3 linked regions of the Xenopus tropicalis genome follow. The protein of the gene in region 2 interacts with the protein of the main gene of each other region in a biochemical or structural test. Links are inferred from orthologs where the notes say so. Each region holds a gene or a part of one and is shown on either strand. Other genes may lie near its edges.

Evidence for each region. The genes of interacting proteins can lie anywhere in the genome.
Region 1: of the proteins of uba1 (region 2) and ube2r2, one has a biochemical effect on the other in vitro, tested with the Homo sapiens proteins (5 studies listed by BioGRID, with this or other methods). The link is inferred for Xenopus tropicalis from reciprocal best matches to the Homo sapiens genes UBA1 and UBE2R2.
Region 3: of the proteins of uba1 (region 2) and ube2e2, one has a biochemical effect on the other in vitro, tested with the Homo sapiens proteins (4 studies listed by BioGRID, with this or other methods). The link is inferred for Xenopus tropicalis from reciprocal best matches to the Homo sapiens genes UBA1 and UBE2E2.

What each region holds. Positions count from the first base shown.
Region 1 is NC_030677.2:211,137,602-211,141,758, forward strand, and holds the start of ube2r2 (ubiquitin-conjugating enzyme E2 R2), read left to right. Parts: upstream 1-1,357; 5' UTR 1,358-1,472; coding exon 1,473-1,649; intron 1,650-4,157. Other genes in the region: uncharacterized protein DKFZp434B061-like, read left to right, coding at 385-503, 611-1,357. UniProt on the Homo sapiens protein: E2 ubiquitin-conjugating enzyme that accepts ubiquitin from an E1 ubiquitin-activating protein, and catalyzes its covalent attachment to other proteins by an E3 ubiquitin-protein ligase complex.
Region 2 is NC_030684.2:539,130-541,487, reverse strand, and holds the end of uba1 (ubiquitin-like modifier-activating enzyme 1), read right to left. Parts: intron 1,973-2,358; coding exon 1,781-1,972; intron 1,697-1,780; coding exon 1,595-1,696; intron 1,502-1,594; coding exon 1,401-1,501; intron 1,129-1,400; coding exon 993-1,128; 3' UTR 501-992; downstream 1-500. UniProt on the Homo sapiens protein: Catalyzes the first step in ubiquitin conjugation to mark cellular proteins for degradation through the ubiquitin-proteasome system.
Region 3 is NC_030682.2:46,326,714-46,330,795, reverse strand, and holds the start of ube2e2 (ubiquitin-conjugating enzyme E2 E2), read right to left. Parts: upstream 2,801-4,082; 5' UTR 2,486-2,800; intron 1-2,485.

The DNA of each region.
Region 1 (4,157 bases), on a different chromosome or scaffold from region 2:
GGCGCCGTGCGTGTGACGTCACAAAAGGAGTGGGAGGCGGAGCCCTGGCGGGTCCGGCTGAGGTAGAGACCATTTGAGAGAAGCGAACAGTTGGGCCCGCACCCCGGGGATCGGAAGAGTCTCAGTCCCCGCACCGCCCCGCACCCTGCCCGGCCTGACAGCCTTCCGGCCCGCACTGCCTCCTCCTACACTGACACCCGGGCGGGAAGGGGCCACAGGCCCGTAAGCTGCACTGACCGACACAGGCCCGGGCTCTCTGACACTCACACAGGGGCCCGGGGAGCCCAGCCTGACACACACGGACCCAACTCACCCACCGGGGAGAGAGCAGCCTGAGGCCCGGCACCCACTGGCGCCCTGACAGGACTGGCCCAACTTACTGAGCCCCTGTGTGCCCTCCTTCATTCATCCTCTGCTGGGGGAAACCACTTCCGTGTGGCTGTAGGGGGGGCCCTTCCCTGCCCCTCACACTTCTATTGTGTGCAACTGTGCCCTCCCCCAAGGGAATTGCCTTTGTGTGGCCCCTCAGTATCCAGCTCCATTCACAGCCCCCCAAGGGAATTGCCTTTGTGTGGCCCCTCACTATCCAGCTCCATTCACACCCCCCAAGGGAATTGCCTTTGTGTGGCCCCTCAGTATCCAGCTCCATTCACAAGCCTTTGTGTGGCCCCTCAGTATCCAGCTCCATTCACACCCCCCCAAGGGAATTGCCTTTGTGTGGCCCCTCAGTATCCAGCTCCATTCACACCCCCCCAAGGGAATTGCCTTTGTGTGGCCCCTCAGTATCCAGCTCCATTCACAAGCCTTTGTGTGGCCCCTCAGTATCCAGCTCCATTCACAAGCCTTTGTGTGGCCCCTGAATCCAGCTCCATTCGCAGCCCCCCAAGGGAAGCCTTTGTGTGGCCCCTCAGTATCCAGCTCCATTCGCAGCCCCCCAAGGGAAGCCTTTGTGTGGCCCCTCAGTATCCAGCTCCATTCGCAGCCCCCCAAGAGAAGCCTTGGTGTGGCCCCTCAGTATCCAGCTCCATTCGCAGCCCCCCAAGAGAAGCCTTGGTGTGGCCCCTCAGTATCCAGCTCCATTCGCAGCCCCCCAAGAGAAGCCTTGGTGTGGCCCCTCAGTATCCAGCTCCATTCGCAGCCCCCAAGGGAAGCCTTTGTGTGGCCTCTCAGTATCCAGCTCCATTCGCAGCCCCCCAAGGGAAGCCTTTGTGTGGCCCCTCAGTATCCAGCTCCATTCACTGCCCCCAAGGGAAGCCTTTGTGTGGCCCTGGGAGAGACTTTAGTAGACCATTCCCCTTACAGGTGGAGGCCCCCAACCCCATTCCTGAGAGGGAGCCTGACTACCACATTGAGCTAAAGAAAGCCCCCCTAAGAGAAGAGACTTGCCCCAGGAGAGAATCTCTTTGCCCCCCCCCCCCCATACCCTGCTGGGAGAAGCACCCCGACCCTTACCTCCCACCTCTGCGCCCACCATGGCCCAGCAGCAGATGACCAGCTCCCAGAAGGCCCTGATGTTGGAGCTGAAGTCCCTGCAGGAAGAGCCGGTGGAGGGATTTAGGATAACTCTGGTTGATGAAAGTGACCTGTATAACTGGGAAGTGGCAATATTTGGGCCTCCTAATACCCTGTATGAGGGGGGCTATTTTAAGGTGAGTGCCTGACCTAAACATTTTTGGGGTGTGAATTCCAAGCTGTGTCCAGATTTATTTTTGTATATACAAAATAAATGTGTATCTGCGCCCTCTGCTCTTTAGGAATGATTCATGGAATTCTATCAGTCATCCCCTTTAATTGGACCTGCTGCTCCCCTGACTCACTGGTGGTTGGAGTCTACAAGTTGGGCATCCCTACCCTTAGGGTGAAGAAACATGGAGCTACTTAGTAGCAGCTACTTGTCACAGCTACTAAACACCAGGCCCTGCAATAGACAATACTAAGAATTGCCTCTGCTAAACACACGTACAGACAATTATCAGTAAATGATCAGCATTGTCTGTTTTAGTAGCTGCGATTAGTAGCTCCGACTAGTAGCTCCGTGTCCTTTAGGGCTCTGGTACACGGGGAGATTAGTCGCCCGCGGCAAAACTCCCTGCTCGCGGGCGACTAATCTCCCCGAGTTGCCTTCCCTCTGCCATCCCACCGGCGAACATGTAAGTCGCCGGCGGGATGGCAGACGCGGCGAGGCGATTTCGGGAAATCGCCGAAAAAGCCTCGCGAGTCTTTTTCGGCGATTTGCGCGAAATCGCGCCGCCGCGTCTGCCATCCCGCCGGCGACTTACATGTTCGCCGGTGGGATGGCAGAGGGAAGGCAACTCGGGGAGATTAGTCGCCCGCGAGCAGGGAGTTTTGCCGCGGGCGACTAATCTCCCCGTGTACCAGAGCCCTTAGGGTGAAGACACACAGAGCTACTAGTAGCAGCTACTAAAATAGACAATGCTGATCATTTACTGATAACTGTCTCTACGTGTGTTTTAGCAGAGGCAATTCTCAGTATAACCCTGCGATAAACAATATGGAGTTTAGTAGCCTTGAAAAAGTAGCTGCTACTAGTAGCCCAGTGTGTCTTCACCCCTTCACCAATTTGGCAGCCTATCTGCCTGTGTATGGGCCTACCTGACTGAGATCTGGCCTAAAAATTGAGCATATCTCAATCAGGCAGGTTTGATTTTCTGTTGCATCTGGGACTGCATTGGCTCATTGATGTGGTTCCTGATCCAACAGCACCTATGCCCAATGAAATTCAATTGTTTGGCCCAATATCGGGAGAAGATCAGCTCGCTTGGTGACCTCGCCAAACAAGCAAATGGCCACCTTAAGTGCCTAAGCCTTTAGCCCAGGTACTGGCTAGCAGGCTTCCTTTGGATCCGCTGTTGATGGCAAGAAGGTGTTTATGAGATTTCCAAGGGCTTGGGTTCTCATTACCTGTGATATAACACCATTTTTTTTTATTGTTAGCTCTTACGAGCACGGTAAAAACTCTGTTATCCCTAGTTTATTATCCACAGTGTGTGATTGATCCTATAAATGATTAATGCAGTGGAAAATGTAACTTGCCTTTCATGTGAGGGCTGTAGGAAGCCCATGACACTGCATTTGCTCTATGGCTTACCTTTAACCCTTACTGGGTAATGGCTCCTCCAGTGTGGCCTGTGATAGTGGTTCCCAGTATGTTGGGCAGGGCCACCTGTGGGGGCCCAAAACAAGAGACCCAACCTGAACCCCAGTAAATATTATAAGGGCATAAGTTGCTCCCTTTAGATACTCTGAAAGCCCAACTTGAAGATCATTTTATGATGAGAGATTTGGGGTAAACACCTATTTGCTCAGTGATCCACATCTGTGTATGTATGTGGGCAATTCAACTTTCATTTGTTTGTGTCAGTTTAAACTGAATCCTCTTGGCCACGCACGTTCTACAATACTGGGTCCGACTTAAGCCAATTGGTGACCTTTATTCTGGATTTACGGATGAGAGTCTAATCACTTTCCTTTATTCTGTGTTTAGCCATAGAATAGGGGCCACATTTATAGGGATCTTTAGTAGTCAGAGTGGGAAAGGGTAATCATTTTGGCCAGGACCCAGGTAAAATAATTTTACGATGTTATGAAAGTAAATGTTGGTTTATTATTGTGTGGGACCTAGGGTTTTCTGGACAAGCGGGCTTCTAAAAAAAAAATATATATAAACCCAATAGGATTGTTTTGCCCCAGTAAGGATTAATTATAAATTAGCTAGTTTGAAGTACAAGTTACTTTTTTATTATTACAGAGAAAGAGGGAATCAAAGTTAGACATTTAGGGTGAAGAGGCACGGGGTGATTAGTAGCTGCGACTTTTGGAAAAGTACCGATACAAGCACCGATAATATCGTACCAAACCTCGTTTCATATGATATTCGGTGCGTGTATGGCAAGTCGACCTATATCGCAGGAGGCTGCTGATATCGATCGACTCGCCAATCGGGTGGGTTAAAAGATTTTGATCGGGCGCCATAGAAGGCTCCTGAGCAAAATCTGCCTTCAGGGCTGAATCGGCAGAAGGAGGTAGAAATCCTATTGTTTTTACATCCTTATCTGCCGTTTCAGCCCTGAACGTTAGTGGCAAATTGAACGATCTTTTGTGCGACCGATGGTCACGCGAAAGATCGCAAATCGCCA
Region 2 (2,358 bases):
CCCATCGAGCGCAGCCGGCCAACGCGGCCCATCGAGCGCAGCCGGCCAACGCGGCCCATCGAGCGCAGCCGGATGTGAATGACCGCACCAAGTCAGTCTGTTTGAGGGCCCCAGGAGCACTGAGGGGGTGCAAGTTTGGGCCCCCCATAACTGCAGTAATTGTTGCCTTGGGTACAATAAGGGGCGTGGCCCTATACATGCCAGTTTCTCGCTCACCTACCCAGAGTGCACAGGGCCCAACTAGGGATGGCCTTGCCTCTATTTCCCCATGACTGGGCATTGGTTGGCGGTGTTTCCTACCGGCAACACAAGTGGTTGCTATGCACTCGGTGCCTAGCAACAGCACACAGCTTGGGCTCTGTACAGATGCTGGGTGCGCAGGCGCAATCACCGGGATGTGCAGCCGCTAGTGGGGGGGTGGGATGAAGGTTGCCCACAGGCCCCAAGGGAAGGGCCGATTGCCCCCCGGGCACAGAGAATGATTGGCTGCGGCACAGATGGAATTTCTGTCGCTTTTATTTCTCCTCAGAATTGAAACACAGTATAAAGAAACATTTCCTACAGCTCAGCAGTATCCGGGCCCTCCCCGTGGCACTAATGCCCCCCCAGGGGCACCCCCATGGCTCCTCATGCATGTGGAACAAGGGAGGATCCCAATCACCAGCAGGGGGCAGTGCCTGGGGGGGCAGAGAGGTGCAAGCACAAACAAGACATGAAGCCAATGGGATGGGGGGGGTGTAACTGCTCTAAGAGCTGGGGGGGGGGGTAATAATCACGGAAAGTGCTTACAAGAGGACACAAGACAGCTGAGAAGATAATAAGGTACAGGTAAGGCTGGCGCACCCCCATTCCCCCCGGCCCCCCACAAACTATATGTTTAACCTCAGGGAGTGAACGGCAGGTCAGTCATGGCCGACCCATTAACCCCTGTGCCCGATCTGCTCCGGCGCCGGCGGCCCTCCAGCATTGGCTGGCTCCCAGGGGGCGGGGCCTCAGCGAATGGTGTAACGCACGTACGGAACCTCCACGTCCTCGTCGCTCTCATCGTTACAGCAGAGCTCGAACACCAGAGCCTTCACGTGCTTCCCGATCTTCTTCTTCGACACCTTCGTCACGATGTCCGTCATCCTGTGGGGGGGCAGAGGGCCCAGTTACACGGGGGGGGCTGGGGGGGTTACACAGAGGGGGCTGGGGGGGGTTACACAGAGGGGGCTGGGGGGGGTTACACAGAGGGGGCTGGGGGGTGTTACACAGAGGGGGCGGGGCGGTGTTACACAGGAGGGGGCTGGGGGGGGTTACACAGAGGGGGCTGGGGGGGGTTACACAGAGGGGGCTGGGGGGGGGTTACACAGAGGGGGCGGGGCATAACAGAGGGGGCAGACTCAGTAAGCAATACGTACGGCTGCTCCAGGCGCTCCTTCAGCTTGGCGGCCGGCATGAAGAAGGAGTAGAGCATAGACACCCCCTGGGACAACATGGTGATCTCCAGCTTGTGTTCCTCCTGCACCACAAACACAATAGGTGAGCGCCACATAGCGAGGGGGCGGGGCCTAACCACTTCCTGCCCCCGGTACTAACGACTTGCCCCACTCACCTTAAAGTAGTCCAGGAACTGTTTGAGCGTCATCTCGTCCCCGTTGCTCTGCACTCCCTTCACTTCAAAGCGGTCCCACAGCGTCCACTCGTTGTCATAGTACTGCGGGGGGGAGAGGGGCAGGTTAGGGGGGGCACATCCCACAATAATGTCCACCCTACCAACCGCCGGCCCAGCAGCGCTCACCTTGTGCTTGGGGGCAGCGATGGGCTCGGAGAAGCCAAAGAAGGGCAGCGCCAGGTTCATGAAGCCATTTTTGAAGGACTCCAGCTTCCTGTGGCCCTGGATGATCTTGTACAGCTCCAGGCAGACCAGCCCCACTACGGCCCCTGTGGTGGTGGCAATGGCCGGAATGATTTTGCCCGCGATCAGTTTGCTCTGTGGGGGGGAGGGGAGAATGAGTCAGGAGGATGGGGGGGCTCCACTGCAAAGCCTGCTGGGAGAGACACTGCCGGCACAGAGAATCCATCAGATGAAACTTAGTAGTTTCACATTAGTTCCCCTTTAATCAATACTTCCAACACCCAAAAATAAAAATGTAAGCAACTCCCCAATATCCACTGCCCCTCCCTGCACTGCTGCCTCCGACTCCCCAATATCCACTGCCCCTCCCTGCACTGCTGCCTCCGACTCCCCAATATCCACTGCCCGTTACTCTTCCCTGCACTGCTGCCCCCGACTCCCCAATATCCACTGCCCCTGTTACTCTTCCCTGCACTGCTGCCCCCGACTCCCCAATATCCACTGCCCCTCCCTGCACTGCT
Region 3 (4,082 bases), on a different chromosome or scaffold from region 2:
AAGAACAGTGCTATCCCACTCATGGTTTAGCTGCATCTCTCCATCAGACTCACATAGCGATTTATACATGACATTGCAGCTTTCGGTCTGTGTAGCATTCTGCACAACACTGGATGTTTTTAAATTGCTACATGCCAATCATATTTTCCTTTATTTATGTGACTTATTCAGTTCATTTTCTCTCTGTAGGGCTTGAGTTATCAAGTTAGGAAGTTCTTAAAATGGGTCACTATGATCCCCTTTAGGGTGAAGACACCTGGAGCTACTAGTAGCAGCTACAAAAACAGACAATGCTGATAATTTACTGATAATTGTCTCTACGTGTATTTTAGCAGAGGCAATTCTCAGTCTTGTATATGGCAGGGTATTTTCTGGCATTCTGTAGCCATGACAAGTAGCTGCTACTAAGTAGCTAAATGTGTCTTTGCTCTTGATGCTATGAAAATGCAAGTAACAGACACTAAGTGGCTGATTATATGATCATTTAATCCAGGGTTTCAGCTAAAACAAAGTCAGAAAATACTAGTAAGTTGTTTTATTATCTGGTATCTACTGTTTTTTTCCCATTGTGCAGGGTTTTTCTTTGCACAATCAATTGTTTTTAAAAAAAACTTGCTTATTCATAAAATGATTACATTTATAATTATATATATAGATATAGATATATAGATTATATCTATAAAGAGTGTAGTCGCACAGCTGACTCTGAAATTCACCCACTTTCTATTTATTACTAAGGGATTTTTAGAAATGTATTTATCAAATAATTATTCCTATGGGATTTTTAGAAGCATGTTTATCAGAGGGTGAAAGTTAGAGTCCATCATTTGATAAATATGTTTCTAAAAATCCCTCAGGAATAAATAGAAAGTGGGTGAATTTTTCTGTGGTTAGCTCTAATCTCACATTTTGATAAATCTCCCTCTAAGTCTTAGGATGATAAATCATGGGTGCTCAGCAGCTGGCTAAAAGCACCAACTGGAAAAAAATACCAGCCTTCCTATATTTTTTTTATCTATTGTCCCTATTAATATTACAATCATAAAGGATCAATTTTACCCGCAAGGTGGCAACCCTACATGTAAACCAGCTGAAAAGCATGTATCATTAGCTTTAAGATGACTACAAAAAATCCAACACTGTCTTTGATTAAGCCACTCCAAGCCAAGCCCTCCAATACTGGGTTGGAGATCAGTCATTTATCTATTGCCCTGGTTTGAAAATTATACCATCTAAGAAGTCTTTATTGGGTTGAAGTGTCTGCATAGGCCCCTAGGGTGATTCTTCTGTTAGCCAGGAAGAAAAAATAAAATCAGAACAAATATGGGTCACTCAATATTCCCAAAATCAGGCAAAAGTCAACTCATTTAGTAACCTTGTTAAACAAGTGGATCTTTGTGCACATGGCTATCTTAGGCCATTTAATACTAAGAGAACTAACATTACAGGAAATGATATAATGATATATGCACTTTTTTCACCTGCACGTTGAACAAGTAAAGCAAGTCAACATACTGTACAACAGAATTCCCATTTAAGAGTCAGGCAAAACATGTTTTAATCAATCCAACACTGGTTACACTGTCAGTATTGCACACATATCTATTAGTTGAGTGCACAATGAAAACAAAATCAAGATGTATATGCTACACCTCCGCTGTCCAACTGGAAGCCCACAAGCCAGATGTAGATCTCCAAGTCTTTTTCATGGCCCCCAGCAGGCTCATGGACTCCAAAGACTTTATATGACATCATCATTTCAGCAAAGTCCAGCCCCTGTACATGTGGTTTACTGGATAATTAGCCAACTACATGCAATAGGTTGAGCAAGCATTGAGCTACACTATCCACAAATTACAGATTTGCTAATAAACTGGATCAAATAATGTACAAACTGTACACTACCAACACACTAAAATGATAATAAGAATGAGTGCAAGCTCCTTGGAACACAGAATCTAATATTGAACTTGAATTGTTTACATATGTCCTTGTCTGGGGCTACATCCTCTGCTTATAAATGGTCGGCCCTCAACCTTTTGTTTAGCCATAGTTCCAAGAAACCCCACCAGCCAAAGCATACTGGGGGATGCTGGGAGTTGTAGTGAAACCCCAGCATGAGGGCAGCAGGCTGGACAACCATGACTGACTGAATGCAGAAAAGATTCCATTATCTACACTGAGTGAAGCTTGGTGTGTGTAACATGGTTCCCTCCCTAATGTACAGCACATCTGTATATGAAAGTCCTAGCCTGGCTAGTAGGATGGTAGCCCATCTGGCCAGCTGTAGGCTGCACAACACGATGTAGTGGGAGCTGATGTACCCTTACATTTGTATATAGGTTATGGGTCACATAGACACATCTATACACTGCATTCCCAATCTTTGGCACATGTAACACCTATACATCCTGTTGTGCCCTTTGTACAGCCAGTTTTATATGGGAGACCAATCATTTGTATGAAAGCACAGACAAATCATTACCTGCCCCCAATCCCGGTGCCGAACAAAGTGTGGGTGCAACACACGAACCCAGCTCTTCCTGACCTCCTCCTCCTCCTCTTCTTCCTCCTTCAACTGTCTCCCTGGGGCGGGGGGTCCTCTTTTCACACCTCTTCGGGGTCCGGACACACATCCACAGTCACCCCGGACCCCAAGGCACCTGTGTAGGTAAGTGCGTAGGGCTAGTCGTCAAGAAATATTAAGCCAAACGCCCCGCTTACATATGGTAAATCCCCTATTTCTCAGCAGCTCTCCCCCTACATCCAGAGCACAGGCTCCTATTTTAGCACGGACACGCGCAAAAGGGGCGGGTATTAGTACGGTATGTATGTCGCCGCCCTCTCTGGCTGCCTCTTCAGAACAACTCCTAGCGGCTCCGCCCACCGCCGTCGATGGACCCGCCCCAAGGAGTGCAGGAGCGCGCAAATAGAGTGTGATGTAAAGAGGGAGAAAAGAGGCCGTGAGGGAGGGGGCGAGCACATGGAGTCAGTGTTTCAGTGCGCGCTCCCGACACCGCTTGGCAGAAAATAGAAAACGTAGGGCTGCAATAACTTCAAGGGGTATATAAAGCTGAGCTGTGTGTTACTCAGCAATGATGTAGAAGTTACAGGGTTCCTCTGCTGTGTCAGCAGGTCCTTCATATTCTATGTGGCTGCGGCTATGGAGTGCTGAGCAGTATGCGCCGTGCCAAGGCATACACAGTGCTGGTTGCCCAGACGAGTGCAAATGTGGCCCTGAATAACTCTCTCTTGCTTTTCCTATCATGGACATGGGGCCACTGGCTCACATATTGTTTGGCAAGGCATTAGTGCTGTGGGATTTCCATGTATATGAGAAGTTTTCCCAGGGCACTGTCCCAGCGAGTAATTGCTCTTTACAGGGTATTGGTGGTTAGGAGCATGAGTGAATTGTTTCCATATCAATTTTAAATCTTTATTAGTATCTGCGATGTCATTTTTTTGTGGCAAAGGCCACAGGTGTTACAGCACAGGGCCACGAATGATATTTCATTTATTTGCCTATTACAGCCAGTGGTTTAAGTTTGGGGGGTTACTTTGCATACTATTCACCAAAACTATTTATTACAGGAAGTAATGAAAGAGGGGAGAGGGTATTTAGTTGAATATTTGCCTCAATTTATATTACTCCACAAGGAAAAACACATCTTGAAAAGTTAGACAGGAAGTGGCTTAGGGATATGGCTATCTGTGTTCTTAACCTACATAAATATGTGCCAGAACAACACAGATATATGCACAGCAGCATTCATGTGCATCAGGGCTGGCCAGCTCATAATCCTCCAGGTGCAGCTGAACATTGAAAATAGCCTGCGAAGAAATTCTGTTTATTACTAATCCTGTCAATTCCTGTCATTTCCAGAGTGATTATTGATTTTTCCTTGTATAAACAGAACTTTCCTGGCACTTCTGCGGCTCTTTATCTGTGCTAAACCAGTTTCACCATCAGGTCTCGATTTCTCAGTGAGAGACGCAGAGGAAGCTATTCACCTTCTGACAGACCAAGGTAATCAACAACCTTTGCCCCTTAGGCCCCATGGTTTTTATTTTTAAAAAAATCG